Arabidopsis thaliana: one gene and its partners. The protein of the gene in region 1 interacts with the protein of each later gene in a pairwise test. Each region holds a gene or a part of one and is shown in the gene's direction. Other genes may lie near its edges. The genes, in order: CER1, CB5-D, CB5-C and CB5-B.

The links.
Region 2: the proteins of CER1 (region 1) and CB5-D interact in a two-hybrid assay, tested with the Arabidopsis thaliana proteins (one study listed by BioGRID).
Region 3: the proteins of CER1 (region 1) and CB5-C interact in a two-hybrid assay, tested with the Arabidopsis thaliana proteins (one study listed by BioGRID).
Region 4: the proteins of CER1 (region 1) and CB5-B interact in a two-hybrid assay, tested with the Arabidopsis thaliana proteins (one study listed by BioGRID).

What each region holds. Positions count from the first base shown.
Region 1 is NC_003070.9:414,412-424,054, forward strand, and holds CER1 (Fatty acid hydroxylase superfamily), read left to right. Parts: upstream 1-4,336; 5' UTR 4,337-4,406; coding exon 4,407-4,466; exon of another isoform or gene 4,467-4,512; coding exon of another isoform or gene 4,513-4,575; coding exon 4,576-4,799; intron 4,800-4,885; coding exon 4,886-5,118; exon of another isoform or gene 5,119-5,238; coding exon of another isoform or gene 5,239-5,263; coding exon 5,264-5,483; exon of another isoform or gene 5,484-6,082; coding exon of another isoform or gene 6,083-6,102; coding exon 6,103-6,478; intron 6,479-6,572; coding exon 6,573-6,680; intron 6,681-6,779; coding exon 6,780-6,980; intron 6,981-7,114; coding exon 7,115-7,222; intron 7,223-7,308; coding exon 7,309-7,497; intron 7,498-7,569; coding exon 7,570-7,743; 3' UTR 7,744-7,847; downstream 7,848-9,643. Other genes in the region: AT1G02180 (ferredoxin-like protein), read right to left, coding at 13-94; AT1G02190 (Fatty acid hydroxylase superfamily), read left to right, coding at 743-1,259, 1,331-1,550, 1,634-2,024, 2,320-2,427, 2,551-2,751, 2,837-3,109, 3,212-3,385. UniProt on the Arabidopsis thaliana protein: Aldehyde decarbonylase involved in the conversion of aldehydes to alkanes. Core component of a very-long-chain alkane synthesis complex. Involved in epicuticular wax biosynthesis and pollen fertility.
Region 2 is NC_003076.8:19,787,071-19,794,232, reverse strand, and holds CB5-D (cytochrome B5), read left to right. Parts: upstream 1-3,860; 5' UTR 3,861-4,052; coding exon 4,053-4,139; exon of another isoform or gene 4,140-4,574; coding exon 4,575-4,641; intron 4,642-4,715; coding exon 4,716-4,984; 3' UTR 4,985-5,166; downstream 5,167-7,162. Other genes in the region: ICK6 (inhibitor/interactor with cyclin-dependent kinase), read left to right, coding at 1-317, 500-526, 1,283-1,477, 1,556-1,625; AT5G48800 (Phototropic-responsive NPH3 family protein), read right to left, coding at 5,230-5,775, 5,846-6,970, 7,053-7,119. UniProt on the Arabidopsis thaliana protein: Membrane bound hemoprotein which function as an electron carrier for several membrane bound oxygenases, including fatty acid desaturases.
Region 3 is NC_003071.7:19,146,036-19,153,441, forward strand, and holds CB5-C (cytochrome B5), read left to right. Parts: upstream 1-5,445; 5' UTR 5,446-5,771; coding exon 5,772-5,849; intron 5,850-5,953; coding exon 5,954-6,020; intron 6,021-6,105; coding exon 6,106-6,359; 3' UTR 6,360-6,704; downstream 6,705-7,406. Other genes in the region: AT2G46630 (serine/arginine repetitive matrix protein), read left to right, coding at 1-678; AT2G46640 (NAD-dependent protein deacetylase HST1-like protein), read left to right, coding at 2,757-2,762, 2,858-2,903, 3,152-3,474, 3,912-4,241, 4,485-4,646. UniProt on the Arabidopsis thaliana protein: Membrane bound hemoprotein which function as an electron carrier for several membrane bound oxygenases, including fatty acid desaturases.
Region 4 is NC_003071.7:13,873,974-13,882,723, reverse strand, and holds CB5-B (cytochrome B5), read left to right. Parts: upstream 1-4,013; 5' UTR 4,014-4,276; coding exon 4,277-4,363; intron 4,364-4,365; exon of another isoform or gene 4,366-4,967; coding exon of another isoform or gene 4,968-5,054; intron 5,055-5,311; coding exon 5,312-5,378; intron 5,379-5,460; coding exon 5,461-5,711; 3' UTR 5,712-6,912; downstream 6,913-8,750. Other genes in the region: AT2G32730 (26S proteasome regulatory complex, non-ATPase subcomplex, Rpn2/Psmd1 subunit), read right to left, coding at 23-483, 816-984, 1,061-1,169, 1,478-1,583, 1,812-1,881, 2,390-2,535; AT2G32710 (Cyclin-dependent kinase inhibitor family protein), read right to left, coding at 7,374-7,443, 7,558-7,779, 8,651-8,750. UniProt on the Arabidopsis thaliana protein: Membrane bound hemoprotein which function as an electron carrier for several membrane bound oxygenases, including fatty acid desaturases.

The sequences.
Region 1 (9,643 bases):
GCAAGGAGTTACCGTGCAATTTGGAGCTAGCTAGCACTGATGAGAGTGACAGAAACAGTAAAATCAACTCCAAAATGCTGATTTCGTTCTTCATATCGTGTTTTATCCTCTGAATTCCCAGCGTAATAGCTCGAGCTGGCGGATTTTCGAAAAATCGAGAAAAACAAAAAACAGAAAAGGAGAAAGTTTTTGAAAGGAGATGAGCTTGATGGAGATGTTGACTGGTCCCTGAATAAATGAAAAATGTGTTGCATTATTTCTATTATTGAGAAGAAAAAAACCAGGCATTTTGGTTATTGGGCTTTGATTTGATGTTGGGCTCTCAACCATTGAAATTGAATGAAGAAAGAAGGAAAGTACGTGACTTGAATTTCATTTACTTCATTAAATGGGCGGCGTTGGGGCCGGTGGAGGTGGGCCAATGACATTGATGTGTAAACAGAGGTAAAGCCGAATTTTGGCTAAGGCGAATCAATGCCCATTGGCTCCTCTCCTTACATATTTGAAGTTTGAGGTTTCCTTCCTTTTCTTAAATTAAATGTTGCTGTAACATTTCTACTATTGTAAACCGGGGCTCCACCACCATGTGCTTCTTCAACACTGTATCATCAGAGCCCACATGGTCATGCCTCTATATAATACTTTGTATTATTATTATTCTTATGTCACATTATAAACAAGTACCTCCAAATTGCACTTCCTTCAAACTTATTCGACAGTAGACTAGCTCAAGTACCTTTGGATGGCGTCGAGGCCCGGAGCTCTTACGGAGTGGCCATGGAGTCCCCTTGGTAGCTTCAAGTACCTCTTGGTGGCCCCGTTGGTGATGGCGAGCATGCACTCGTACGTGACGGCTGTGGATGAGGAGAAAGACCTCAGCAGACTTATGATAGTCGTGTTGATGCTGTGGAGAATAGTTCACAGCCAGATATGGATCAGCGTGTCTCGCCAGAGGACGGCTAAGGGAACGAACAAGATCGTGGACAAGCCCATTGAGTTTGAGCAAGTGGACCGAGAGCGCACTTGGGACGACCAAGTCATCTTCAACACTCTCCTCATGTATCTCGCAAACATCAAGCTCCCAGGCGCCTCCCACCTTCCCCCATGGAGGCTAGACGGGGCCATCCTCATGGCTCTACTTCACGCTGGTCCCGTCGAGTTTCTCTACTACTGGTTTCACAGAGCTCTCCACCACCATTTCCTCTACTCTCGCTACCATTCTCACCACCACTCCTCCATTGTCACCGAGCCCATCACGTGTACGTACCTTTATCCACCATTTGCTTCTATTCTATATACATTCATTCATATCTTTAATCAAACTTGGCAGCTGTGGTGCACCCCTTCGCCGAGCACATCGCCTACACACTACTCTTTGCCATACCTATGGTAACGGCGTCCCTGTGTGGGATCCTCTCCATCGTTTCCATCATGGGATACATTACTTACATTGACTTCATGAACAACATGGGACATTGCAACTTCGAGCTTTTCCCTAAGCGTCTCTTCCACCTCTTCCCTCCCCTCAAGTTCCTCTGTTACACCCCCTCGTACGTCGTTTGTAAAAACACTACTATTTATTTGGATTTGAATATATGCATGCATTTATAACATGGCATCAAATATGTTGAAGGTTTCACTCGCTCCACCACACGCAGTTCCGGACCAACTACTCTCTGTTCATGCCAATATACGACTTCATCTACGGGACGACTGATAATTTGACCGACTCACTATACGAGAGGTCGTTGGAGATAGAGGAAGAATCACCCGACGTCATCCACCTCACTCACCTCACCACACACAACTCCATCTACCAAATGCGCCTTGGTTTCCCGTCCCTCTCCTCTTGCCCCTTGTGGTCTCGACCCCCATGGTACCTCACATGCTTCATGTGGCCCTTCACTCTCCTCTGCTCATTTGCCCTCACTTCAGCTATCCCTTTGCGCACCTTTGTCTTTGAGCGAAACCGTCTCCGTGACCTCACCGTTCACTCTCACCTCCTTCCCAAGTTTTCCTTTCACGTAAGCATTTTACACGCATGCATATGCACTTTCCCTCTCTCTCGCTCTCTTGACACAAACGGGTTTACTTATTATGTTGTACTTCACACCACTATTTTCCAAACTTTCACACACAAAAAAAACATTGATTCTCACTTAACTTGTACGTACTACGTAGGAAGGACATAACCTTTTATACAAAAAGAAAATTAAAACAACCTAAAAATGAACAATGAACATTTTCTTGTGGGTATACCTTTTGTAAGTTGCATCTAAAGTTTATTAATAATTTTGCCTCATAAACATGCGGCGGTAGTATAAATCACAGCGCCACCATGAGTCCATCAACACTATCATAGAGGAAGCTATCCTTGAAGCAGATGAAAAGGGTGTGAAAGTAATGAGTCTTGGCCTGATGAACAATGTAAGTTTATTTACTTCAAATCCCCCTAAATATATATGAATCACTATTGGATAAGTACTGTAACTAATTACACACGCTGGCAAAAGAAAAAAGTAACTAATCAACACACAATTAATTAATGAGAGGGAGGAACTAAACGGGTCTGGAGAAATGTACGTGCAAAAGTATCCGAAGTTGAAGATAAGACTAGTGGACGGGAGCAGCATGGCAGCTACGGTGGTTATCAACAATATTCCAAAGGAAGCCACGGAAATTGTCTTTAGAGGAAATCTCACAAAGGTGGCTTCGGCTGTTGTCTTTGCTCTGTGCCAAAAGGGCGTCAAGGTTTGTGAATATATGAGGGAATTGGAATATATATACTCAGCTTCTCATATCAAACAAAAAATAATGTAGTAATGTGTATATATAGGTGGTCGTGTTACGCGAGGAGGAACACAGCAAACTCATCAAATCTGGGGTTGACAAGAATCTGGTACTGTCTACAAGCAATAGTTATTACTCCCCAAAGGTGTGGTTGGTGGGGGATGGAATAGAGAACGAAGAGCAGATGAAAGCAAAAGAAGGAACCCTCTTTGTTCCCTTTTCTCACTTTCCGCCCAACAAACTCCGCAAGGACTGTTTCTACCAGTCCACTCCAGCTATGCGTGTTCCCAAGTCTGCCCAAAACATCGACTCCTGTGAGGTACATCTTTGAATTCTTATAGATATATCTGTAACTTTTATATTATATAAGCTGATAGATGTGTTCATCTATAATGAATGAATGGTTGTTATATATATATAGAACTGGCTGGGGAGGAGGGTGATGAGTGCATGGAAAATAGGAGGTATAGTGCATGCACTTGAGGGTTGGGAGGAGCATGACTGCGGCAACACTTGCAACGTCCTCCGTCTCCACGCCATATGGGAAGCTGCTCTTCGCCATGATTTCCAACCTCTCCCACCATCTCCTCTATGAGCTTTTTTCATATTCATACATCTATGTCCCCTTTCTTGATTATATCTACTTCCCTTCCATCATTGTTTGCTGTTTACTATGTTTTTCTATCGACAATATATAAGTACCCTTGTTACCCTTGGTGCCACGTGCTTCATATATGTTAGAAAGGGCAAAAAAATTCGTCGTATGATATGCTTAGTTAAATTTTATAAAACTCAATAAAAATCTTCAGAAACAGTGCTATGATCATTACATCTTAACTAAGTGATATATATCTGCGTGCCTATTTAACAAAATAAACAAAAAAACAAAACAAAATATATTTGGGTGCATCATCAAATCAAAGTAGTTGCAAAAACTGGACGAGGTTTTTACTTAAATGGTCCTTACCCCGCATGGTCCACTTGCTACCTAATTAAGGATTGGTAGGGTGCGTATACGTATATAAATTGTGGCGGTGGGAGATGGAGTTACTAAAAACGAAACGTACAAGTATTATTCATAGCTCTCGTATAAGGGGTTAGTCCTTAGATCTAGATATTTTCACTTTTCTTTCATTTATGTCGGAGCAACAGACACTAGCTGGCGCTTCAACGTGCATGATCTTGATTGGCTAGTAAATTCCAAGCATCAATACCTAACACATGCCCAACTTGGTTCATTAGTATTCTTTCATTGGTAAAATACCCTTACCTTTCAATAATATCCAGAAATAAATATATGAAGCCATCCATCAACCGGTGCATTTCCTCAAGGCATGGATATGATATCAGAACATCGATGAAGGTGGGAGGGGGTAATTAGCTGAGTGTCATAAATGAGGATCCATGTGGAGATCATCGAATGGTAGTAGTACATGTTTGGTCTTAGCTGGCCCCACCACAAGGAATTGGACTGGTGGGAAGATAGGGGTGGTTACGTCATTCCACATATCTACCAATTAAGGAGTTTAATATAAACCTTGCTATATAATGTACCTTGGCTCACAAGAGTTGAAGAGACACAGTGACGACACAAACATATTACATTCGACGGTATAATGGCCACAAAACCAGGAGTCCTCACCGATTGGCCTTGGACACCCCTCGGAAGTTTCAAGGTGCACTCTGTTTTCTTGTCCTTTAAATTTAAAAAAACGCGTGCTTATGATCGAATCCCGTTACGTTACTGATATATATGTTTTTCTTGACATTGAAACAATACAAAAGTACATCGTAATAGCACCATGGGCTGTCCATAGCACATACAGGTTTGTGACAGATGATCCAGAGAAGAGGGATCTCGGGTACTTCCTTGTGTTCCCATTCTTGCTCTTCAGAATTCTGCACAACCAGGTTTGGATCTCTCTGTCCCGTTACTATACGTCCTCGGGAAAGAGACGCATCGTCGACAAGGGAATCGACTTCAATCAGGTCGACAGGGAGACCAACTGGTGCGCTTTTCTAAATTTTTAACTACCTGCGTGCCTCGTGAGTATATGTAATCAACGTAACTAATGAAATCCTGATATATGCGCAGGGATGACCAAATATTGTTCAACGGAGTGCTGTTCTATATAGGCATCAACCTATTGCCGGAGGCCAAACAACTTCCCTGGTGGAGAACTGACGGAGTGTTGATGGCAGCGCTTATTCACACCGGACCGGTGGAGTTCCTCTATTATTGGCTCCACAAAGCTCTCCACCATCACTTTCTTTATTCCCGCTACCATTCCCACCACCACTCCTCTATCGTCACTGAGCCCATCACTTGTAACTATTGTTTCTTACCTTGATTTTTACGCTGCCTATATTTCCGTTTTTCTTTTTATAATTATTATACGTAAAATATACATCGTTCACGTCCTAACTAGTAGCTTTTATCTGTATATAATGGGATTTGATCAAATGTATGCAGCGGTGATACATCCGTTTGCGGAGCACATAGCATACTTCATCCTCTTCGCGATACCACTACTTACCACGTTGCTAACAAAAACGGCGTCAATAATTTCGTTCGCCGGATACATAATCTACATAGACTTCATGAACAACATGGGACACTGCAACTTCGAGCTAATCCCTAAGCGCCTTTTCCACCTCTTTCCTCCCCTCAAGTTCCTCTGTTACACCCCCTCGTAAGTCCTTAATTAACAACTCCTCTTCTGTTTCATACACTACCAATTTGGCGTAGTAAAAGCATTTACAAGAAACCATTCTTGATGATCTGATACAAATACCTAGTTAGATCATATTAATTAATCCTCTTATGGTCATCATAAAATCTAAGCAAATGATAAATCATACTAATACAGGGGATATATGCTATTATAATAGAATTCCATACACGTACTCCATTCCTGTATAAAATAAAGGTGACGTGATACAGTTGTATGCTTAATATGATCGTCAACTACTGAATCCCTGGACCACAACAGAAAAAAAAACAATTATTTAATATATCTTACATGGTTCAACTTATCGGCACATAATCCAATTTCCCACAACTTTACGCATTGATAGCATCTTTAACCAAACATCCTTTGAGAACTATTTTAAATATCAAATTCATTAGTCGATATGTAGCAGGTGGTCCCTCTAAACGCTCAAGTTATATTAAACCTTCTGGATTCATATTTACTTTTAAATATTTGTGACTTTTTTTCCTTCGGTATTAATTTAGCGCAATGTGAAAGCAAAATTTAATAGTTAAAATACATTAAAGTTTGGATAATAAATGGAGCATGAGAATTGCAGATACCACTCGCTGCACCACACGCAGTTCCGGACCAACTACTCCCTCTTCATGCCCTTGTATGACTACATCTACGGCACAATGGATGAAAGCACGGATACGTTGTACGAGAAAACTCTAGAAAGAGGAGATGATATAGTGGACGTGGTGCACTTAACTCACCTGACGACGCCAGAATCCATATACCATTTGCGCATTGGCTTGGCCTCATTTGCCTCCTACCCCTTCGCTTATAGATGGTTCATGCGCCTTTTGTGGCCTTTCACCTCTCTCTCCATGATATTCACGCTCTTCTACGCCCGCCTCTTTGTCGCTGAGAGAAACTCCTTCAACAAGCTCAACTTGCAGTCTTGGGTGATACCTAGATATAATCTACAGGTCCTCATCATCATCATCATCATCATCATATATATAGGCTGGTTAACTTGCTGATGCATATATATTAATGGTGATATATATATGATGCATGCAGTACTTGTTAAAATGGAGGAAAGAAGCGATCAATAACATGATTGAGAAAGCGATACTGGAGGCAGATAAGAAAGGAGTGAAGGTGCTTAGTCTGGGTCTCATGAACCAAGTAAAGAAACTATCTCTGACTGTTTTGGTTTTATATTGGGTAGATGCCGTACGTACTACGTAGTGTATGTTAAAGCTTTAATTTGATGAACTGAAACAGGGGGAGGAGCTTAACAGGAACGGAGAGGTGTATATCCACAACCATCCAGATATGAAAGTGAGACTGGTCGACGGCAGTAGATTAGCAGCAGCTGTTGTGATCAACAGTGTACCCAAAGCAACTACAAGCGTCGTGATGACAGGCAATCTCACTAAGGTTGCCTACACCATCGCCTCTGCTCTCTGCCAGAGAGGCGTTCAGGTCCTTTGTTTTCCTTTTGCTCCTATGTTGTGATATCAAATTGATGATCTCTAGGAGAAAAATAAAATCCAAGCTTTATCTACATGTATTTATGCTCATGACTCGTAACATTTTCATGTGAATGTCATCCGCAGGTCTCCACTCTGCGCCTAGACGAGTATGAGAAAATAAGATCATGCGTTCCACAAGAATGCAGAGACCATTTGGTCTATTTAACCTCTGAAGCACTCTCATCAAACAAGGTAATTCAGTATACAAAAGAAGCACAATTAATCAAAGAATCAGAAGGAAAATATTCAAAGAGCTTATATAAAGAAAACTAATGAAGGGATTTTGGGTGAAGGTATGGCTGGTGGGAGAAGGAACAACAAGAGAAGAGCAGGAAAAAGCCACAAAAGGGACATTGTTTATACCATTCTCACAGTTCCCCCTCAAGCAGTTACGTAGAGATTGTATCTATCATACCACACCAGCATTGATAGTTCCAAAATCTCTGGTGAATGTCCACTCCTGTGAGGTAAGCATTCAAAGCTACCCAATCCAACTAATTTATTAGAAGAGGTCCTTATTATAAAAAAAACATCTGCAGAACTGGTTACCGAGAAAGGCGATGAGTGCAACTAGAGTGGCCGGCATATTGCACGCCTTAGAAGGATGGGAAATGCATGAGTGTGGCACATCCCTTCTTCTCTCGGATTTGGACCAAGTATGGGAAGCCTGTCTCAGCCACGGCTTCCAGCCTCTCCTCCTTCCACATCATTAAAACTCCAACCTTGGAAGATTTTAGGAGAATGAGAGCGACACGCTCTGTGCTTCTTTTCCTTATGATCCAGCTCTTCCACGCACAAATGAACTATGAAACATATATAAAGCGCACACATATATTTATGCATATCAAGCTTTTGGTGATTATGGTATTGATAGAGTCAAATTAAGCTCGGTGACTATGGTATTAATAAGAGTACTATTTCCTTTTCTCTTTGTGAACTAAGAAACATATATATATAAAGCAAACATGTTCCAGAATATCTAAGTTTTTCTTCTCCCACTCCTAGACTTTATAGTTCTACAAAATTTAAGTAGCATAGAACATAGCATTTGGATCGCTTGATGCTATTACTAGGACAATTCAAATGGTCTCTCATCACTTATAGGAGAAACACCTATCTTATTCAAATCATTTGGTGGTCAATAACCGTTTTGAATACATTGATTGGTGTTAGTTAGTAGTTAGTTCTCATACACAGTGGCTAGAGCCGGGCAAAACGGATACCACCACCGTTTTTTAAATTATTTATTGGTTTTCTTAAATAAACTAACAAATAATTAAATTAGTGATAATGTACTATTTAAAAAATAATTATGTAAATAAAAATATGAAGTTACGAATAAATTCATGAAATTTAAAAATTTAACACTTATCAAAAACAAAACCTAATAGAAATATAAAAATATAATTTTAAAAACAATAAAAACAAGTGTTAAAATTAAAAAAATGTGTAAACCGTATTGAACCTAAGACACCTTTTTGGGGTTTGGATGTTATGTCCAATTAAGTTACACAAAATTTAAAAAATTAACATTTATCAAAAACGAAACTTTATAATTTTTAATAGTAATATAAAAATAGAATTTTAAAAACATTTTTTAATAAATAAAAACAAGTGTTAAAAATTTAAATTATGAGTATTGAACCTAGGACAACTCTTTGTGAAATCGTTAATGACCACGGTTAAATGGCAGGATCAAAAATCCGATTAGATTTCACAACGTCATATTCATTTAGTATTTATAAAACCTTCTAAAAAAAAATTAAGAAAAGAGTTGAAAAACTTTTAAGAAAAAATAAAATAAAAATAAATGCTAAATATACATAAAGATGTGAAAAACATGTTGGACTTGTGAAATCGCTAATGGCCACGGTTAAATGGCGGGATCCAAAATCCGGTGAGATTTCACAACGTCATATTAATTTAGTGTTTGTAAATACTTTTTAAAAAATAAAAAATAAAGAGTTGAAAACCTTTTAAGAAAATAAAATAAAAATTAAATTATAAATATACATGAAGATGAGAAAATATTTTGGATTTGTGGAATCGCTAATGACCACGGTTAAATGGCGGGATCCAAAATCCGGTTAGATTTCACAACATCATATTAATTTAACATTTATAAAACCTTTTAAAATAAAATAAAATAAAAAAGTTGGAAACCTTTTAAGAAAATAAATGCTACATATACATGAAGATATGAAAAACATGTTGGACTTGTGGAATCGCTAATGACCACAGTTAAATGGCGGGATCCAAAATCCGGTTAGATTTCACAACGTCATATTAATTTAGTATTTATAAAACCTTTTAAAAATAAAAAATAAAAAGATAACAAAAATCGAAAGAGTTGAATACCTTTTAAGAAAATAAAATAAAAAATAAATGCTAAATATATATGAAAATGTGAAAAAACATGTTGGATTTGTGGAATCGCTAATGACCACGGCTGAATGGCGGGATCCAAAATCCGATTAGATTTCACAACGTCATATTAATTTAATATTTATAAAACCTTTTTTAAAAAAAAAAAATTGAAAGAGTTGAAAACCTTTTAAGAAAAAAAATAAAAAAAATAAATGCTAAATATATATGAAGATGTGAAAAACATGT
Region 2 (7,162 bases), on another chromosome or scaffold:
TTGAAGCGGCTTAATTCCTCCGCCGCTGATTCAGCTCTACCTAACGACTCTTCTTGCTATCTTCAGCTCCGTAGCCGCCGTCTCGAGAAACCCTCTTCGCTGATTGAACCGAAACAGCCGCCGAGAGTTCACAGATCGGGAATTAAAGAGTCTGGTTCCAGGTCTCGCGTTGACTCGGTTAACTCGGTTCCTGTAGCTCAGAGCTCTAATGAAGATGAATGTTTTGACAATTTCGTGAGTGTCCAAGTTTCTTGTGGTGAAAACAGTCTCGGTTTTGAATCAAGACACAGGTTCGTTGTTTTTTTTTTTTTTTTTTTGTGCCCTAATGTTTTCTTATTACCAATTCGACTTTTGTGTTCTGTCTTATCCAATAATCTTAGTTTTGAGTCTTACATAGTTTTGAATCTTAGTTAGGTTTCTCTGAAACTTTTGTTGTTTGCTTCAAATCAATTTTTTTTTTTTTGGGGGATGAAAATAGTTTAGTACAAGAGAAAAATAGGTTTTTTATGTTTCCCTTATTGGTTTGGTTTTTGTTTATGAATTGACTCTCTTGTGATGTACTGAATTTTGTTATTACTACTTCTCCGTATAAGTCTCTTTTGGTGTTAGATTTACATTATATCTGATTTATTGCTGTATGTCCCATGTGTACTTCATTGCAGAGATTATCAATGAATGTGTCAAAGCTATTTTCGTTTTATATATGTATTTCATTATTTGTTACAAATTTGGTGAAACTCTGATCTGTTTTTGTGTATTTTAATTTGTTTAAGAACATGTTGATTCTCCTTGTTATTAGGCTAATGGCATAAGAAGTATTTGTACATTGGGTATACAATATTGGGATTTGGTTATTGGGGGTTTACTTAAACACATGGTTTTCGTTTTTACAAAAGTGGGTTGTTGTATAAAGGTCAGAAACTTTTAATATGTAAGATTATATGAGAATTGGGACTTTCCTCATAAGTGTAATGCAAGTACTGTGGTGTCATGTTCATGGGACCTAGTGGTTTTTGCATACTTGGGGAATACTTTTGTAGGATCCTCTGTTTTTTGGGGTAACCGTCCTGCTGCTAGTTGACAATGTGGTGATTGCCTTCTCTTTGTTATTTATTATCTTATGGGACCATATTACTTAGAAAGTCTCTAGCTTTTGTTGTTTACTTAAACCAAGCCTCTTTTTTATTCTGGATGTTTGGTTTTGGTTTGATTCTTGATTTGGTTAAGTGTCTTTGTGGTGATAATGTTATTGAAGTTATTTTATCTGTGTTTTTTTCTGCAGCACAAGGGAGAGCACGCCTTGTAACTTTGTTGAGGATATGGAGATCATGGTTACACCAGGGTCTAGCACGAGGTCGATGTGCAGAGCAACCAAAGAGTACACAAGGGAACAAGATAACGTGATCCCGACCACTAGTGAAATGGAGGAGTTCTTTGCATATGCAGAGCAGCAGCAACAGAGGCTATTCATGGAGAAGTAAGCTTATTCTTTATTTTATTTTTGTGTCATTACGAAGAGGGTGAACAACACTCATGTGTTTTCAATAATCTTCAGGTACAACTTCGACATTGTGAATGATATCCCCCTCAGCGGACGTTACGAATGGGTGCAAGTCAAACCATGAAGTTCAAAAGGAAACAGCTCCAAAAGACATGGTGTGAAGTTAGAGAATGTGATGGAGTTAACAGACTAACCAAACATCAGAAATCGTGTAATCTTAAGTAATAATGTGGTTAGAGAACAAGTTTGAGAGTAGCTTAGGGACCTTAAAACCTCACACCATTTGTACTACTAATCTTCTTCAGATGCTTAGTGAAATTTTCTCATCTGTTTCTTTCAAGTGTTTGTTTTTCTATCTATCTCTCATGTTTATTCAAAGCTATATGTAATGATGATGATTGAGAGGGATGTGTGTGAACATGTTTAAGCTTGGCATATAGTGAAAAAAATGATTCAGATGCAGAAGAAAGAGACCCAATTGAGAGGTTCACGTGTGAATTTTGGTAGGTGTAAAAATCTGAATCATATCCTTTTTCTTTCAACTATACAAGATTGGTCCCTTTTCTTCTCTTACCATAATTATGACGCACGTGAATGTGTGTGTAAATACTTTGACGTTTACATTGAAATACTGTAATGTAAGTTCAGAGTTAAAAGTACAAACACAAAGGTGAATTTTGTACTAATTAGTAAAGAGATAAGAGTGTTTTGAATCTTGAATATCAAATTATTATTAACAAGAAACTGACAAAAAGATGAGACAGTGTTCATTGAGAAGATCTCTGTTGTTTTATCTTTTTTTTTACATTTCTTGGAAATTGGCAAAACCAGTGTGATGAAACTGTGAAATCTTATCTCGAACCCAATCATTGTTCTATGTTTTTCTTTAATCTCTAAAAGTGAAAAAGTGAATGCATGAAACGTTCAGATACATTCATTATATTATACATTTATACATATGGACATGGTGTACGTATGTACACGGGTGCTTGTTTGATCACGGGCTCACTGACTATAAAAATCATGTTTTTTGGGACATATAGATTCGCTTACATCAACTGTGTGACCAATGGGGTATCTGAATTCAGCTTGTTCGATGTTTTGTTTGACTCTTTTAAACTATTTGGTAGTAAAAAGCCAAAAAGGAAGAGCACTGATTACGAAAGCCTTTTTGTCTTTTTGTTTCTTCTTCTCTAGCTCTCTTTCGTTCTCCTTTTGGGTTAGTCCTTCAAAATAAATGTCTTTAACTTGTCATGTATAGTTTCTTTCTCTCGTTGAACACCAACCATAGGCCTTGCAATGTGAGTCAAAACATGCATTGAAAAAAGAAGTGAATTTCAACATTAAATGCTCTCGTTTAACATGCCTATGGTTCCATTAAGCAAAGTACACACTCTATATATGTCGAAAGAACTATACAGTCGGTGTTTTAGCCCTATAGTTAGATACATTCGAACTGATTACAGAAATATCAAATATCCAGTTCTAAGATCGGATTAAGGCAAATACATTTAAACTACTTCTAGCGAATGAGGTTCACATAGAAAAACTTTTTAAAATGAATCACTAAACAAGATTCATTTTCTTTCTAAATAGTGTAAAGACGAGTGATGCATGCAACTGCTCTCCTTTCCGTTGGTCCCTTGTCAAAATATACGACCGTGAATAATTCTTCCCATCATATTTATCTGTCGGAGAGTTCCAACCTCAAAACATTCTCCTTCTCTTATCAATTCTTTCTAAAATCATAAACCAACAAACTGGGCCTATGATCAATTATTCATATTCAATTTAGCCTATAACTAAAACCACACTGCTTTCGTTACACTGGCCTTCCGACAAGTCTCTTTGACTGTTTTTATCTTAAGCGCCATCAAGTTTTAAAGAAGACAACCCCATATCTTTCCTCCCATGAATCATCGTGTCCATATTGCTATAGTTCATGAAAAAACTAAATACTATCGACAACTGAAGAAAAGATCCGGATCTTGTGGACCGAGTGAATGGTTGGGCCCAATTAGAATGGTCTACCCTAACATCTAGCCGTCTACACGATTGATCATACGTCTAAGAGGGCGAAACCACCAAACGTTTGGATTTTATCTAAATTGATGTACATAAAGCTAACATGATTTTAGTATAAACATTATAAGCATCATGGAAATCAATAAGCTAACATGATTTTAGTAGAAACATTATCAGCTAACATGAATTACTAAAAACATTTATTTTATTTTAAGGAAAAACATACAATACTAAGATTTTTTATAACATTTTTTCTTTGTAACATTATAAATTGTTTTAGTTTCTACATTAATTAAATATATAAAATAAATTCATTTAAATAATATAAGAAAACGGAATCTTTGATTAACTGCTGATTATTGGCCACTGATTAATTTCCGACCCCATCAATAGATGAGATCAGACATACACAACTTAAGTAGACCAAAAAAGCGGTTGGTGTAAGATCCCAAACTCACAGATTCCCAAATAATAGTAATACTCTTCCTCTTCTCAACTCTCACCAGTCACCAGCAGATCATCGGAGATGGGCGGAGACGGAAAAGTTTTCACCTTGTCCGAGGTTTCTCAGCACAGTAGCGCCAAGGATTGTTGGATCGTCATCGACGGCAAGGTCCTACATCTCCGATCCCAGTTTCTCATTCGATTTTCCGTTTTCCCTTAGATTTTGCATCTTATCTTCGTGAGATCCGAAATTCTTGAGTTGTGTTGACTTGGATTTATAAATCTAGAGTTATGTAGTAACAAGTTTGGGGATAGATCTGATCTGATTTGCTAGATTAATGTTACTTTTCTAAGTCTAAATCACAGAGAAATTGCTAAAAACTTACGTCTTTATAATTGAATGTGATAGTTGGTGCTGCTTAAGATGTCTCTGTGTGATCTTGTATCTGTAGTTAAAGCTAGTAAGGTTCATGTAGTTCATGTATGTTCTGATGTATGAACTTTTGATAACCCACTTAATCTAGGTCTCTGATTGTGTGGAATTAGGGACTTATATGACAAAGTTTACATTTTTTGTGTGTTTCATTTTGATGGTTATATATAGGTTTATGATGTGACAAAGTTCTTGGATGATCATCCTGGTGGTGATGAGGTTATCTTGACTTCTACAGGTAACATATAGAGATCACTTTCTCTGTTTGTTAGTTCATGTTTATGTTAACAAGAATGTGTTGTTGGTATTCAGGGAAAGATGCGACCGATGATTTCGAGGATGTGGGACATAGTTCGACTGCGAAAGCCATGCTAGATGAGTACTATGTGGGTGATATTGACACAGCTACTGTGCCGGTTAAAGCTAAGTTTGTGCCTCCTACGTCGACGAAAGCCGTGGCTACTCAGGATAAGAGCTCGGATTTTGTTATTAAGCTCCTTCAGTTCCTTGTTCCACTTCTAATCTTAGGCTTGGCTTTCGGCATTCGGTACTACACTAAGACCAAGGCTCCTTCTTCTTGAAAGATTGAATTGTGGCCTAAGTGAATTGCTTGTGTACGACGTGGTTAAACTCTGTCTCTACCTCTGTTTGTCTTGTAAGACATCATTATATTCTCTATTCCAATCAACTGATAGACCTTTGATTTTTAAGCCATCTACCTTTGTTGTCTTATATCAATCAAATCCATTTACAATATCACTCACACACCAGTCTCAAGTCTCACTTAAAAAGCAGCAACAGGTAAGAGAAAATGATAAACACTGAGCTAATCTGTGCTTGCGCAAGTTCTCTCCATCAGTACCTTTGAATCTGTTCTGAAAGACTGCTTTGATGGAGAGCTTGATCCTCTTGAAGAGCTATGCCCAAAGAAGCTAAGTTTCCCCATTTTCTTTGAGAAACTGCTCATGAATTTGCGCGAATGAGACCTCTGCATATCTCTCTTCATACATATATGTTCTTTCTCTAGGTCGTTGAGTCTCATTCTCAACCTAGCTAACTCGAGCTTCAGTTCTCGGTTTTCTCTCCTCAGAGACGCATAGTTGTCTTTGGGGGACATTGTTGCACTGAGAGCTCCGCTATTGATTCTCCATGACTGCTGTTGTTGCTGCTTTGGCTTTGGCTCTTCGTCTGAGTAAGAAGAGCACAAGGAGCTTCGAAGCTTGAGTTGCTCAAAGTAGAGAACTTGAACTATGGATTGCAGAGGAAGCCGCTCGTTTTGTGCAGCGTGTGCTCCAGCTTCTTGTGAGAGTTTCTGGAAGTCAATAAGTTTTGATAGTTTCTTCTTGTCTGAATCTGATAACCCTTGATGTGCCTAAGAGCATAAAACCTAATAAGTATCAAGTCACAACAAGAGTAAGTAAAATTTTCTTGTAGCAACATACCTTAAGATAGAGATCAATGGCGCGGTATAAACCATCGTGAAGGGTGCGAGCATGAGGCGGTAAGGCTTCTGCGATAAGCAAGAACTTAGAAAGGTCAAGGTTAGCATCGGGAGCTATCTCAGCAAGATAACTGTCTACAAGCTTTGCAACTTTAAACATGGCGGTTTGTGAAGGCGAATGTGGACTATCGCATTCAAACACAGACTCTTCATCCTCACTATCATCTCCTCCTTGCTGTGAGAAATTCACTAAGATTCTGTGAACCGTGTCAATGTCGAACAAAGTGTCTCCTGCATGACGAAAAGACGGGATCAAGAGATCGTCAAGAGTCGCCATATCGAGCTGAGAACCTAACCTCCTCTCAAGATCAAGCCTGCAGGAAACTGAAGTATCAAGAATCACTGCTCTTCTCAGTAACCCGAATAGGAAACTGATCGGAACCACGAGGTTTTCGACTGGCAAAAGCGTAACAATTGTCTCAACAATGGTTTGTTCATGTTCAGATCTCTTTGTTAGCTCTCTCTCAGCGTAACTAACCAAAGAAGCTCCTATACTTTCTGGACGTACACCACGACACTTCATTGCATTCATAACTCTCTGATACAAATCAATCCTCAGAACCGAAAGATCTTCGATCCACCAATCTCCTCCATCACCACTGCTTTTCACTTGTCTGCTCATATGAAGCCTCCCTGAGCTACTATACTCCAACCTCGAAAAGCTTGAAGCGATCTGCTCAGCGCAAGCCTTCGAGGCAATGGCATCGATACATCTACCTATGATATTCAGTTCATCTGCAAGAGGGAGAAGAATCTCGGATTGTTTCAAGACTTGAACACACATCTCAAGATTCTTGCATACGATGCTCTCAAGATACTCCTCTGTTCTTGAAGCCAAGTTATCTTTGGAGTACTCTTCCGTCATCTCGAGGTAATCAGAGACACAAAAGAGCTGTGCAACGTTCGAAGAAGTGATCTCGAAGTTAATCCCATAGCAGAATTTTGCTGCTAGTTCGAATGTCTCTGCTCCTCCTGGGAGATTAAGAAGCTCCACTTTGGAGATATCTGAATCTCTATGTTCTGCAACTATTCTTCGGATTCTTCCACTTCTAGAGACTAAAGGGAACTGAGAAATGGAGAAGCAAAGCATGTTCAGTAATGGTTTACTTGAGAAAGCAGTGATGGTTGTGTTCTAAGTATGCATATACCTTATGCAGAGCAAAGTTTCCACCGTTTACTTCTATGGTTATATCACTTGGAACATCTCGAAAGATCCTAAAAAGTTGCAAGAAAGAACATCATTAGCAAGATTGAGACA
Region 3 (7,406 bases), on another chromosome or scaffold:
AAAGCACCATCACCGAGAGTACTATCACCTTACTCTCTCCCAGCTTCTCTGTTACATTCCGAACGTGAAACCACTCAGAAAAACATTCTCACTGCCGAGAAAACAAGCCAAACCCACGAAACAAATCATCATAACCAGAATCATAACCATGACTATAACCAGAACCATAACTATAACCAAAACCATAGCTATAACCAAAACCAAAACCATCAAGGCAACAACCCCAAGAAGATGCATCGTCAACCATCTTCGTCCGATTCTGAGAACATAATGAGCACACGAGTCATCACCATTGCAGGTGAAAACAAAGGTGCAGTAATGGAGATCCTACGATCTCCTCAAGGCAACAAAACCGGTGGTTCAGGAACACATTCCTCTAGGGTTTCACACGGCACCGGAGAGAAAGGACGGAGACTTCAAAGCAGCAGCAGTAGCAGCAGCGACGAAGGAGAAGGTAAGAAGAAAACGACGAAGAACGTCCCTAACAAAGGCAATAGTAACCTCCCAATGAAAGCTTTTATGAATAGTAACGTTCAGATGATAAACAACTCCATTGTCTACAACTCGACGGCATCTCATCATGATCCCGGCGTTCATCTTAAAATCTCCCGGAAACCTGGCTCCGACAATGGTTTTCATGTCAGTGATTACGGTAATAATGGCGGATACACCAACTGATGAAAGAAGAAAAAAAACTAAACTAAAATAAAAAAAAAGGTTTTGGATTTAAAATTGCAATAAATTCGATTTAATTAAAATAAATGAAAAAAAATAAAGAAAATATGAGTGGGGTTAATGGTTTCTGATTCTTCTCTAAAGCTTTTGGAACCCTCTCACTTATATGGAGGCTTTGATTCGTTTACTTAAAACGAACTTCTTTTTTTAATTACTTTTGTAAACGCGCGCATTGGTTCTCTCTGACGTAATTAATGAGAAATCAGTTATTGCTTTAATAATAATCATGAAACCCATATTATTGTGAAGGCCCGATGTATACTACATAAGCCCATATTCATACCTATGGGCCTATATAAACAATTTGTATTTACCGTAATATATTTACTTTTATCAATTGGGGTAACGATTTGGATAATTGAATCCAAAAGATTATTGTGCCACAAGCGACAAGTTTATGTGAAGAAAAGAGAACCAAACCTTGTATATTATTAATCAAATGACTTTCAAATCAACTCAAATGTCTAATTGGTTCCTGTGTCCGTTATGAGAAAAGCTCATGCTTCAATAAACCCTCTAATAAGATCACATTATTTATTTATACAAAAATATCCCAACCAATGTATATGCTTTTATATTTTTAATTTTTTTTGTAATGTAGAATCTATTCTACACAAATCGTTTTAGTGATTGTAACAGTATCTGAAAAAGAAGTGGGGAACTAAAGTGAGCATTTTGAATGCATAAAATAGAAATTGGAGGAGTTGAAAAGCCAGAGGGGTCTTTTATAAGCTGATTTATTCTTTATTAGTTCTTGAGTCGATTTTTGTGAATATTTAAAATTCACCAGGAGCAAATAAAAACATCACTACCTTATAAAATCATAATACAATACTTTCGAAAACTTATGCAATTGAATAAATTGGCCATATAATTAGGCAAAAGATAACAAGAAAAAATGTCCAAATCCCAAAAATTCGAGAACAAGAAGCAACTGACAAAGAGAAAGGAGAGTGAAGTGTCCAAATCCCAACAGTATGTGTGTGGTTTTGTGTGCTCTTCAAAAAGCTTTAGAGGGTACTTTGCATGTGCATATGCATATGCATTATGCATATAGTCCTCCTAATCTTTAATATTGTATCTTTGAGGATTTAATAGGTATCTGAGACCTTGCAAGTTGCAACTGAAGAATTTGAGTAAAGTTGGTCACAGATTATAAATCCGTAAATTATTACATTTTACAATTAATCCATTAGTAACGGATTGGCCATGTGATTTGGAATTTACAACTTAATAATGTTGTCAATAATTTAAGTATAGCTTGTTTCTGTCAAGAGAAATGGCAATGGCATAGCTTTTTACAATTTTGAAGATAATTTTACGTCAACGTTCTAAAACGTTGATGATTATCACTCTGAAAATTTGACGCTAGGGTTTGAATACATTATTGTTGATAGTGAAGAATGATCCGCGATGACATTCCGCGACATTTATATTATAGTGACCACAGTGACCGAATTGCTTCCACTATATTTGGACCCTTCTTGAGGGAATCCAAAGCTGGTGAATATGACATTTTCAAATAAGATATTAAAATTGTACGTCCATTTTTAAAAATTGATTGAAACCAAAACTTTCGCTTTAATGCAGCGAATTTTTCCTTTGATGTCTAATCAAATGATACAAACACTGAAAGCAACAGAAGTCTACCAACAAGATTACAAGAAATGAACCACGGAAAGATCAAGGAGGCACTGAAAATTAGTATTAAAATTTTCTTGTCAAACTTTGATAATTTATAAGTAATCGGGTCAAAAAGCAATTTCTTAATAATTAAGGGTGGGACAACGAATAGTGTGACGACCAGATTAGCAAGTGACATGTGGCACCTACTTATTGGCCTTGCCTCCCAAAAGTCAGACCGATCCAACCCACTCTTTGTAATTAACACGTGTCAGAAGCTGAAGGACTCTCCTATATGATTTATTTAATGTCTTAATAGATTTCTCATTTCACACTATCCTTTTTTGCTTGAGAACTTTCTTCACTCTTTCAACTGCTAAGAAGAAATAGAGAAAACTATGACGGTACGTAAATTTTGTTGTTAATTATTTTGCTTTAATCCTTTTTTCATATAGTTCGTAATTATAAATCTATAATTGTTTTCCGGGATTTTTCGAAGATCTTTAACTGGGTGCAGAAAAAGCTGCACCAAAATGTCATCAAAGGTTAGTTTTTTTTTTTATAGATAATCAATATCAGCTTTATTTTATAAAAAAATAACAAATTTGCTTTATTTTCCCTTTGTTTATTAGAATATCGTAAGCTTCACTAAAATAGTAGTTTACTTTTTGTAGTAGTATCATATAGGATCATGTGGTTCCCTGTTTAATAAATAGTTTTATATTAACGTATACCACGTTTTCGCTAAAGCATAAATTTTGTCCAACCTATATTTATTTTCATATGGTGAAAGAAATAGATGGTGTGAGGAAAAACGAGAAGAAGAAGAGGAATGAAGGAATAAGTGAGATTGAGAAGAACACGAAAGCTATATTGGATCAAGTTGGTTTAGTGGATGCTCTTGATAATTGGTTCGATGGAGTTCTCACCATCGGCACATTTGGCTTTGACACCTTGAACTTCAAAGAAGAAGATGAAATGGATGATGATGAATGCGGGAGTGGGGATCTCGACTACGTCGTAATTGATGGCAGCATCATCAAGAACGTCGACCAAGAGTCGGATCCTCTTATCTCCGTTGAAAATAAGTTTTATGATCATCATGAAGATGTCGGGGTACGTATTCTAATCAGTTCTATTGAGTACATTTTTATGATCCTCGGGTTGATTTACCAATAGAGAAGATTATATAGACATATGACATGCATATGCTTCAATTGTTCGTGTGCGTTTACGTTGATTTGATTAGTATATTCAAATGAATCCAAAATTTTAAAATCTTTAAACTAGTTTAATTGTTATTGTAGAAATAAGTTAACTAAAATGGAAGGATTATACGTTCACTAATCTACAAAAATTTGGGTTTTCTTTCAAAATATGACTTTAAAGACATATAAATGCAGAAATTGCATTTGAGTCAATCGAGATCGTCATTTTTTTTTCTGTCGACAATTAAGGCCATTATACGCAAAGAAATAAGTACATAAAATAAGTACATAAAATTATATCTTCTTGACTCTTGATATTGAATTTCTTGAGATCTTTCGTATTAGAATCTGTACGTACAGGCCGATACTGATCACTTTGGCTCGATCAAAACCGCTGAAACGCCAGCTGTCACGGCGGCAGCCGAGGCCGAGATAGAGCCACAGAAGAAGAGGACAACACTTGCGGAGCTTTTCATGGAGGACCACGACAAAGGTTATGACACGTGGCATTGCAAGAAACCCAATAACCCTAATCTTGACGGTGAGGAGGTTAAGTACTATAAACAAAACGGTTCAAAACTAAGCAAGAGGTTCTCGTTTGTTAAGAAGAAGCTGGTCATGTCAAAGTCCAAAGAGGAAGAAAACGACTTACGTCCAATCAAGAAAATGCGTCAGGTATTTAAATTTGTTTTAGTCAATTCCGTAACTATGAAACATTGATGATGATGGATATATGAACATGTTACATGTGCCTCTATAGCTCAAGGGAAACAATGTCACGTCAAGATCTAGATAATTATTCGTGCATGTTACAATTACATCACTTTTGTTGCTTCATAAGTGTACTCATATGTGAGTAAATATTCATTCGATGTCAACAAGTATAGCATCATTATATATGTGTATATATTACTGTAGATGATAAAGAGGATGTTGAAGAAGAAGATCCATCCAGATGTCGATGCAACTAAGGCTTTAAAGAAGGACGTTCCATACAAGCCAACTCGGAACTGTGAAGCTCTCGAGTCACATTATCTTCTTAAAATTCAAGGTTTGTATTTCTTAATTATTTTGGTTTAGGGGTTCGATATGATTTATTTCTTTCATTTGCTCGTATATATATGCTTTGTGGACAGATTGCGTGGCCTAGAAGTCTAAGAACGACGACATCGTACAAGAGCAATCTCTGGATCTATTGTTCTACTCCCTATAATATATGTGATTTTTTTGTTCTTATTTCAGAATGTGTTGGTATTGTTATGACTGTTGAGATGTATTGCTTTCTTCTTACAAACATTACTAAGTTGTTAGTATTTGTTCCTGTTATGCATATTGTATTTTATTACTATGTCATATGTTTTCTTATTTATACGTATATCAATGCATCGTTCTAAAATCGTGGATTGTCGTGAATCTGTGATAGTATTCCATCATGTCTGCTATAGCTTGGTCAGTTTTGAAGAAATTTCAAACCTAAAGTCATAAACTGATAAAGGACTAAATTATCCTACTCAAAACAGAAAGCCCTTTTGTGCGTTATTGGGCCTAATCAGAAAAGTGATTTTGAAAAAGGGCCTAATCAGAAAAGTGATTTTGAGGCTTTTTAAAAGTTTAAAGTAAACAAAAGAAAATTGAGGCTTGACTTTTCTTTCTTTTTTTGACTTGTTTTCTTTTTTCCTTTTTCTTATAAGAGAAAACTAAAACGTGAAAGAGCTTCACCAACCTGAGGTCGCTGACCACTTGGAGGCATTCTCAGCTACCAATCCATTAACTTACAAACTCCATATTCTTCACGTTTTACTATGGTAGGTACCTTTTTTTAACCTTGTTCGTAATAACAATTTTATACGAAAAGAATAGTATTAAACTTCAACAAAAACAACTATGTATATTAACTGGTCAGATATACATTGCTTTGTTCCCTTACATCTTCAAAGAGCTAAGATTAAACTATTTACCCCAAATAAGACTGTAATTTCATCAAAATCTAGTAATAATAATATTCAACAGCTTACAATATAAACATAACGCGTGTGGTCTCCATAAGCTACGCACTGTCTTTTCATCGGTTCGTAGAAACTAGAAACTCTTCCCCTCACGATCTTGCTTTCTTTATTTTGCTTCAACCCTAGTTTATTTGAAGTCTCTATATAAAGTTCTCTGTTTCAAGTTACTTTCTCAGCACGAGCAACCAAAAGTAATCATATGGCGAATCTAATTTCGTTTCACGATGTGGCTAAACATAAGTGCAAGAACGATTGTTGGATTCTCATCCATGGAAAGGTCCATATTTCTACTTTCTTTAAATCACGTAAACAAATTTATAGATTATAAATGCTCTGTTTTTTTAGCTTTATACTTGTTTCTAAACACATGTTTATCCACAGGTCTATGACATCAGCACTTTCATGGACGAACATCCCGGAGGTGACAATGTTCTCCTCGCCGTCACCGGTACGTACGAGTACGAGTTGGTTTATTCCGGTTTAGTTTGAATTTATCGGTTTGTAATTTTGTGAGTTTTTATGAAAATTTAAAGGGAAAGACGCGTCGATCGATTTCGAAGATGTGAACCATAGCAAAGATGCCAAGGAGCTAATGAAGAAATACTGTATCGGTGACGTTGACCAGTCAACGGTTCCGGTGACGCAACAGTATATTCCGCCGTGGGAGAAGGAATCTACGGCGGCGGAAACAACTAAAGAAGAATCTGGAAAGAAGCTGCTTATCTACTTAATTCCTCTCTTGATACTCGGCGTTGCTTTCGCTCTCAGATTCTACAACAACAAGTAGACCAAATTATGATGAACAGATTGATAAGAGTTTCTTACTGTTCTTGGTTTTCGTTTGTTGGTAATAACGGGCTTCTTATGTGAAGATTTGGGCCATTTGGCCCATCGCTCAGAATTGGACTATAATGTCTTATTTATTTTATGTTAATGGGCCGTATCAGTAGGCCCTTTGTTGATATATGCCAATCCCAATTTCTTCTAGCATGAGCTTTGTGTTATTTACTTGATTTTGATAAAACAACCAACTTATGCAGTAGATTCCATTTGACGAAAAAAAATAAAAATAAAAATGCAGTAGATTCCATTAAATTCGTACTTAATAATAAAAATGGGTGAGGGCATACTTACAAAGAAGGAATGTGTGTCAGTGTGTGTCAAAAATATGACACAGACACAGAATTATTTTTAGCAAAAACGTTCCACATAATTTCAACCTTTATACTGTCGGTTATTTTTTGCCACTTTAAAGACACAGAATTCAATGTGTCATAAAAAAGGACACAAAGAAATGAAGAATGTTGGTTTTTAATTTACTAATTCGAGAGGGGATTTATTAATCAAATTTCGAAATGTAATGTTAGTATTTCTATATTATATTACTAGAAGACGATTAAAAATATGAGAATATTTTTCTTAAGTAAAGTTTTTTTTTCTTTTTTAAACCGTGTAATGTTAATTGTTTGGTAAAACAAACCAAACATTCGTGTTTCTATGCAACTTATTAAACAAGTGATTGTTATTATATATAATAAAAAAAAACGTTTCCGGAGTGATAGTAGACTTGCAAAGATCGTTCACCAGAATCTTGGAAACTAAATTTTATAGTTTAATATCCTGTTGCGTTTTTTTTTTTTTTTTTAATTTATCCTGTTGCAGTCTTGATCTGTGATAGAATTCATAATTTATTTTATAAAAATCAAACGTACAATTTTGTGGGCTAACAATCAAATATTTCTGATATTTTAGATTTTAACTAAATTACAATGTGGTGTAAATATAAATTGAAACTAAAAATATATAAATTACTTTTTCTTGTATTTACAACCTA
Region 4 (8,750 bases), on another chromosome or scaffold:
CAAAACTGCAACAGTAACTTACTTGTTGTGGCTGTAAAGAAACTGCAGTGTCAGCTGAATAGATGTCTCTCCAGATAAAATTCCCTTAATCTTTGTTAACCTCTCAGCATATGTAGCATCAACTGGATCCGTCTCATGCACAATTGTCTGAGCTGGAGTTTCATCTGCCATCTGAACATCTCCCGAAGGGTTCTCATTAGGAGCAATAGTTGTTTCAACAGCCTGAGTTGCTTCTACAGCACGTGTTTTGGGAGCTGGAAGGCGATCTCTAACACTCAAGAGAAAGGCCTGGTGCTCGTTCTCTACAAGATCAAATGCAATTTGCAATGCCAATAAAGCATCATCCTTGTTCTCTGAGCGAAGAAGCTTCTCCAATATGCTTGCAACACCTTGCGGTTCATCCAAAAACATGAGGCATTGACAAATGCTCAAATAATCAGGAGAGGGCAGCTTCTGGTAGACTTTTACAAGTAAACTAAGCACCTGAAAGAGTAGACAAGTATGTCATCACCTTTTTTAAATAAAGACTAAACTAAACAGCCTAGACTAAAAGACCTAGAAAAGGGAGATTTTTTTAATTCAGGCCTTGACACATCTCAGATAGGTATCACGAAAACTGAAACAGGACTTTTGGCTACAGCTTAGGACATAGAGGATGCTAGCATACATGTTTGCAGGCATGGTAATGGAAGATGCAACATAGAAACTAAATGGTCACATTATCTTCCAGATGAGGCAAAACTATACAGTTCTAATCAGTCGATAGAATTAGAACACCTTTCTACTTAACTATTGTCTAAGAACATCAGTCTCACCTCATGTCTGTACTCTCTGCGGTTGACAAAGGAATGAGAAACATTGATGCAATATGATAAAGTTCCCTGAACATTATCGCTCTTAATGATAGCTTCTTCCAACTTATCCAATCTCCGGCATTCTATCGCAATGCCCATGGCTTGTTGATACTTCCCATCACTGATGCATCTGCAGAAGGAAAACCATGTAAGAAGAATTGAAGCACTATGAAAACAAGAGCATTAAATGTATAAGCATTGCATACTTTCCAAGCATTCTTTCAACAATCGCCTCTAGCCTGGGATCAATGTCCACCATCTCATTTGACTCAACTGCCTTTGATCTGAGACTGGCATATTCGTCTATTGCTTTGGCTGAAATTTTAAAAGAAGCATCTGATGAGTATACATTCATCCAGCATTTATTAAAACTCAAATAGTCAACTTATCTGTCTTTTTCTAGTATTATACTACTTAAAGGCAGAACAATATCTGGATGTACAAGCTTCAAGTCTACTTTTAAGATAATAAGTCGTGCAGGCTATATAGGCTTTTCTTGCCTTGAGAGTTGAGACAAGTTGATTTGGTAAGCAATTTGCATTAAACAGTTACCCTAGCTAGAGTCTACAGACAGAGAACAGCATGAAGAGAGTAAAAACATCAACAAACTTCTCAATCCTCACCCAGAAGCGTATGAACATAATCAGAATCCTCTGAAACATCAAATAAGGGACCGGCTCCTAGGGCATAAGACAGCGAATCATTAAGCTCGCCCAAGTAATAGAAAACCTGCGATAAAACAACCACGATCATCAAGAAACCCATATCTTGTAAAACAAACATATAACGTGATTAGAAAAAGGCTACGTCCCAAAATTCTACCACTATCCACCAGCTCTTAAGGAGAAAAATAACCATAATGTATTCAGAGCAACAATTAAACATTCCTCCACTAACATATAGCAAATATTATCCGCAACTAGACAAAACTTAAGTTTAACAATCGTGAAATCGCACCTTAGAGACCAGCAAAGCAGCAAGCTGTCTTTGATGCAGATCGAATTCTTCATCTTCATATAAACTCTCACTGTAAAAAAAAAAATTCTCTCGAGTCAAGCTGTCAAGTAGTGCAAATCATTAAAGAGAGATTATCATAAAACCCTAAGCATTGCGCCAGCACAGCCTCTACAACTGGAATCTATACCACTAGAATGTACGATGATAAACCAAAACGAATCCAAGCCTTTACATTACATGAGTAAAAGAACATAATCATGTCCAGGAAGAAGTTAGATACAATTACTCATTCATAATCTATAAAGATCACTACAGAACTTGCTAAAGCTAGTCATGTAAAATAAAAAACTTTACTTTTCTTATCCTACCCATTGAATCTGCATCGCCACAAACTATCAATCCCTCACTCAAAATTTTGAACTTTAATACCCAAATCGAGAAGACCTACACACAACCACAGCTCAAACAATCCAAATCCCACAATCTTCTCTAGAATATCCCGAATAAAAAAACAGATCAAGTGAGAGAACAAAACCCTAAATCTCAAACCGGAAAAAAAGGGTTTAAAAGAGAATTACATGATGGGGACACTAGTGGAGATCTCAGGCCAGAATTGGTCAACCAAATTGTTGAGGTTAGAGAGCGCATGAAGCTTCAAAACAGGATGAGGCTCGTTGAGCATTGCTAGTAATCCTCCAGCGGAACTAACCATGGGTGTCGCCATTGATGGAGAACACTAAATCGAAATCGAAATAAACCCTAAGAGAAAGCTAATCAGATGACGAAAGATTCGAACTTTCGATGAGACTCGTCTTGAATCTCTCTACTGGATTTGAAGAAGAGTGTTTTCCTTATTTATTTTAGTTTATAGGACGAAAGTAAAAATAAAAGGAGATTTGGGAGAAGATAGTAAGTCAGGGACTTGGATGCAAACTACGAATATTTAGAGACTTACCCAACAAGTCAGGATATTAAAAACTGCCCCGAATGTATAGCTTTATTATGATTTTAGTCTCAAGTTTTGTGTTATTGAGTTATGGATCCAATATATTTTGAAGATTTACAAAAACTCCTTATTGCTTTTACAAAATTGGTTGGTCATACAATTTTAAGTTTTAGGAGCTTTTAGGATACCCTAATTGCTAAATTATCATCATATCATATCAATAAAATGTGTTGCAATTCAGAACATAATACAAAGCTTTATAGAGATATGCAAGGCATCATAGAGAAATTAATAAACTTACAGTCGGTTAATCAAATTTTATAAACAAAATTATCATAAATCGATTCAGCTCATTACACGAAATGGTAAGCGTAAACTATGATGATGGTGTGGTCGACCATTAGCTCGATTATGTAACAAAGTCATCTAGTTATTTAGCTTATAAATCATTTCAAGATGTAATTCAAAAACATATGCATTCAATTTTTTTTTTAGTTATCTGTTTATCGTATCAGAAGTTCAATGAAAATAGTGTATGAACAAACAAACACGATTTTAGTTATTTATATTTATTGTTCATTTTAAAATTATATATATATTAGTTTTTTTTAATGTGTAAATTGTATTTAATATTTTCAAAGCAACAATTTTTAGTATTGAAAAAGATTTGGTGGTCCTAAAAGTATAACTTTTTCTTTTAATAACATTATTTGGTACTAAAAAACATAAAGAAAATGATGGTTCTAATCTTTTGGTTAACCTGCTTGTTTTTCTCTAGAGAACATGGCTAATGTATTTTTTTCATTGTCGATGGTTCAAATTTGAAACTTCTCAGACCTCTTTTCGTTTACAAGGTCAGAAATTCACCGGTCAATCTATTGATTTTGAATAATATGTACATTTTATATAAGCTTTAGAAAGAAAAAGATTTGTGTCCCTAATAAATAAGGTCAGTTGGTATGAAGCAGCGGCAATTTATTTTTCTTATGTAGTTGTATCTACTAATATAAAACTACATAAATATTACTTATGAGAAAAGAATTCATATGTACCATAATAAAATTTATTGCACATCATTCACCTACCGATCTTGAATGAAAAAGGCAGAATTAGAGCGCACAACCGCAACATTTGCACTGCCTACCTACCTACCCCATCCACTCAACCGGAAATAACAACTACTACCAAACCACTTAACCCATCGGTTCAACATTGGCACATATGTTTTCAAAATCGTACAGATGAATACCATAAGGCCAAAACAGTAGAGCAGCAATTAGGTACAGACTATGTGAGAACAAACTCAAAATCAATTTTCATTAAACCGGTTTTCAAAGCTTCCAAAACTCACCAACCGATTACTTTGAGAACGAACCAAATTAAACCGGAATTTAACTGATTCGTCAAATGGTCTTTAACTCAACAACTCTCTCTCACACTCTTGTATAAAGTTTTGAGCTTTAAGTCTCAGAGTCAGGTTTTGGTGGGTTAATTCTGGTAGACAAGAATCAAACAAACAATGGGAGACGAAGCAAAGATCTTCACTCTTTCAGAAGTTTCAGAGCATAATCAAGCTCATGACTGTTGGATTGTCATCAATGGAAAGGTTTCATTCTTCTTTCTCCTTATTCTCACCTCTGAAATTAGAGATCTCGTGCTTCAAAGTTTCCCCTTTTGGTGTTTGCATGAGATTAAGCTTTTGAAGTCTCAGATTTCTAAGTCTAAAATTATCAGATCAAATCTTTAGATGGGTAGAGAGAGTAGAAAATGGTGTAGTTATTAAGCTTATGCTGAAGATTTAGCTCTTTTGATCTATTTATCAGCTGAAAATTTTCTAATTTTGATTGAAGATGGAGAAATGTAGAAATAGTTCTTATTGTCTTTAGAGTTTGTTTGATCGACATCAACCTTTCTTGGGATGGACTACTGACACTTGTCGATTAGTTGTTTGCCCTGAAGATCGATCGTTTTTGTATTGTGATTATTAACTTGTGAAGGAATCTGTAGATACATCCTTGAGCCTCCCTTCATAGTGAACTTGATTTTTGTTTTCTTCATTGATTGGTTTGTGAAATCAGTAGATTATCACAAGAAAGTAGGAAACATTAAATGTTTTGGTCTGTTGTTCCATCAGTAGTTTATGTTTCTTATTAATATTGTCACTTAAGTTCATTTTTTTTGGGAGTTTACCTCTGTGCAACAAGTTTGCTATGTACACAGAACAATCCTTTTTATCAAGTTCAGAAGATCCCAAATGTATCTCTGGACTTGGTTGTTGGTACAGTAATTTGTTTCAAGTATTCATCTTTCTATTCCTATTGTTTGATTTTTAGAGTTATATGCACCATATCTTGTTTAGTCCAAAGAAAGCGATAACCTAAGAACTTTTCTTTTTGTTGCTCCATTGTTTCTTACATTTTAATCATAAGCCTCAGAAGTGGATCTTCCCATGTTTTAAACTTCTTGATTTGACAAGAAATCTTCAAAGTTCAGAAGTTCTGTAATTGGGTTTCATTTGCCTCTCCTAACTTCACACATTTGCAAAAAAATGCAGGTGTACAATGTGACCAAGTTTCTTGAAGACCATCCAGGTGGGGACGATGTTCTCTTGTCTTCAACAGGTCTGTATAAACACAACTATCACCATGCTCCCGGCTTAGTGGAGATCAATCCATCGGTTTTTGATTCTTATTCTCTTTTCAGGTAAGGATGCAACGGATGATTTTGAGGACGTGGGTCACAGCGAGAGTGCAAGAGAAATGATGGAGCAGTACTACGTAGGAGAGATTGATCCAACAACAATACCAAAGAAAGTCAAATACACACCTCCTAAACAGCCTCACTACAATCAAGACAAGACCTCTGAATTCATAATCAAGCTCCTCCAGTTCCTCGTACCCCTTGCCATTCTTGGTTTAGCAGTCGGAATCCGTATCTACACCAAATCAGGGTAGGCTTCTTTTTTTTCTGAGCATTACTTCCTTATATCTTATATATAGAGAGAAAGATTCAAGTCTTTTGAAAAGACAAATCTGAAAGTCTCTCCCTTTGTTATTGTCTCTTCCCATATTTTGCTGTTTGAATGTATTTTGGATAATTTCTTATCTATTGTGGTGTAACTGCATATAAACAACAGTCTTGTTGGTGTTTTTGCCTTATGCAACTAATGAACATCTCATCTATATTTCAGATTCTGAAACCGAAGTTATGACTAATAAGTGATCTGTTTTGAAAGTCTGGTTTAGTATTGTTTGAGATCTGTAGAAGAAAAGTAACCAAGGAACTATCAAAACAAGGCCATGATCTTACTAATTGAATGCTTAAGAGAACACTTAATTAACTTTGAGAAAAGGAGAAACAAAAACAACAGATTACGAATTCCAAAGAGAAAGAGACGTTTGTTTTGGCAGTTACTTGATAGAGTGTGTGGCAGTTAGTGACTTGAGCTCACAAAAACATATCCACACGAAGAATCCAAAAACTCTTCTGCAACTGTAGGACCCTCTTTTTGTACCTCTTTACCGCTTTGGCCGCAAGAAGTCGCAACCGCAGACACAAAGTTCGATACTTGTAACTTCGAGAGCAATAAATTTCATTTAAGTAAAGATTGGAATGGATTCTGTGGCAAGTTGACAACTATGGACTGTTTCATTCAAAACGTTGTCGTGTGTAGACTCAAATCAATACAATCAGAAAACGAATCTTATGACAAGCAAAGACGCGACGAAGTTTCGATGATTGATCAAAAGACGATCACCATAATGATGATGATGATGATGATATGTAGTGAGTGGGTACGAATTACATATTTAAGATAATATAGTGGGCACAAATCTCACAGAGTGGAAAGTACAATGGACTCACACAAGAGCAAGAGAAAGAGAAAGAGAATCTTTTTCTAACACTTTTGATTTTAGTGAGAAGACAGAGACAAAACAAAGACCACTATGAGACACTATCCATATCCATAACGAACAGCTTCTCTGTCTCTCTATTATCAGTATACAATTGTGTATATATAGACATGTATTACCTACCTGTCATTGTGATGTTATATGTCTGAAGAACACAACACATGGACCATAATGATGATGATGATAAGAACAAGAACTTAAGATGAAGAGAACAAAAAAGAGAAGGATAAGTCTTTATTGAAAAGAGTTTGAGATCAGTACATGTATACACATAAAAGGATAGATTTTTTAAAATGGTTACAGGACAAAGAGTTTTAAGAGAATGCAGAGTCCCCCTGTACCGGAATTCATAAAAGAAAACACTGACCCTTAAACCGAAAGAACTCTAAACCCTAAACGCTAAACCCTAAACAGACTTTGGGTTACTTCTAAAAACCTTCTCTTATGGCTTTAGTACTACTACTAAGGTGATCTGTATAGGCTTAAAAAGGATTGGTATCAAGTTCTGTTACACAAACCCTTTTCAGCCACTTATGTTACAGACACCAATTTAAAAACACTACATGGGTTTTTTCTCCTAAGCTCTTTACATGTTGAAAAAGTTAAGAAAACGGATGATGGTAATAAGATCAAACCGATAATTAGCAGGAAAATGTTAATATATTCTGTATTAACTATTAACCCCCCATTTTTTTGTTGTTTCTAATCATCTACCTTCGTCCATTCAAACCGTCCTGGTAGTGGTTGTTCGTTCACAGGATCAAAGTTGTACCTGAAGAAAGAGTTGACAGAAACCATTAGAGACACAAGACCAAAAGAGAAGAACAGAACAAACTGGAAACTCATAACCAAAAGAACAGAACAGATGAAACGAGGAAACACATACTTCTCAATGAATTGCTTCTGTTGTTCTTCTTCAGCACCCGAGAAAAACTCGTCCATTTCAGGTGTAGTTGGTCGGCGACGATGGCTGCGTGACAAACTGTCTTCTCTCTGGTTGCTTTCACTTACACAAATGTTAAGCTTTGTAGACGATCCCGGGGTTGTCATGATTTCAGGCCTTCTTATCAAACTGCATGGTGTGGATTCCCTTGTGGTCCTGTTGAAGCTGAGAGTAAGTAATATGTTACTTTCATACAATGCTCTCAAGGAAAAAGCACATAACCGTGTTTCCTTAATTAGCAGCAAAAGCAAGCAAACTTTATTGCATATAGATAACTAAAACTAAGCAAGTCATGTTTAACTGAAAAAAGGACAAGGAGAAACTCCTTGTTGATTTGTGGTTCAAAGTTCACAAAGCATAAAACCAAAGAAGAAACTTCCAATGAAGATTACTTCAGCAATGCTTGAAAAGTTAATGACTCATACAATGTTCAACAAGATCACGACTTTAGACTGAAATCATAACATCAAAAAACAACCAAACAGCAAGAAAAATTAAAAGACAGAGAAACTAGAACTTAAGATGTTACAGAGACACATCATATACTTTGCAGAATCCCAAAAACGAACCAAACTTTAAAGAGTTACTTACAGAGACATTTCAAACACAAATCCAACATTCTTTACATGAAAGCAGATAAAAAGTCTGAAGAAAAAACAATAGTCACTATCACCTTCTTCAAAGTAATTGAAGAAAAAATAAAAACTTTCTCAAGAAAAAAGAAACACATTTTTGATTAATTATATATATTTTCTTTCCCGGAAACAGAGAGAAGAGTCTGGTGTTGTCAGATAAAGAAAAGATGGCATCATATCATACACATGGTAAAAATATCATTAAATTTCAAAATCGAAAACGCCAGTTTCAATTTTAACCAAATACAAGACAAAAAATTGATCCTTTTTTCAAATTAACAACGGAAATTTTCAAATCCAATACCAAAGTTTTCTCAAGAAACAGAACAAATTCACACAGATTCATAAAAATAAGAAATCCCCCAAAAAATTAGGTTGAAATTGATGAAGAAAGATGATACCTTTGAGTGTGTTCTTCTTCAAGGTCGAAGAAATTTTGGCCAAAGGTTGGATCTTTATTGATTTCAGAAATCAAATCCTTGTCTTTACCAAAGACAACAC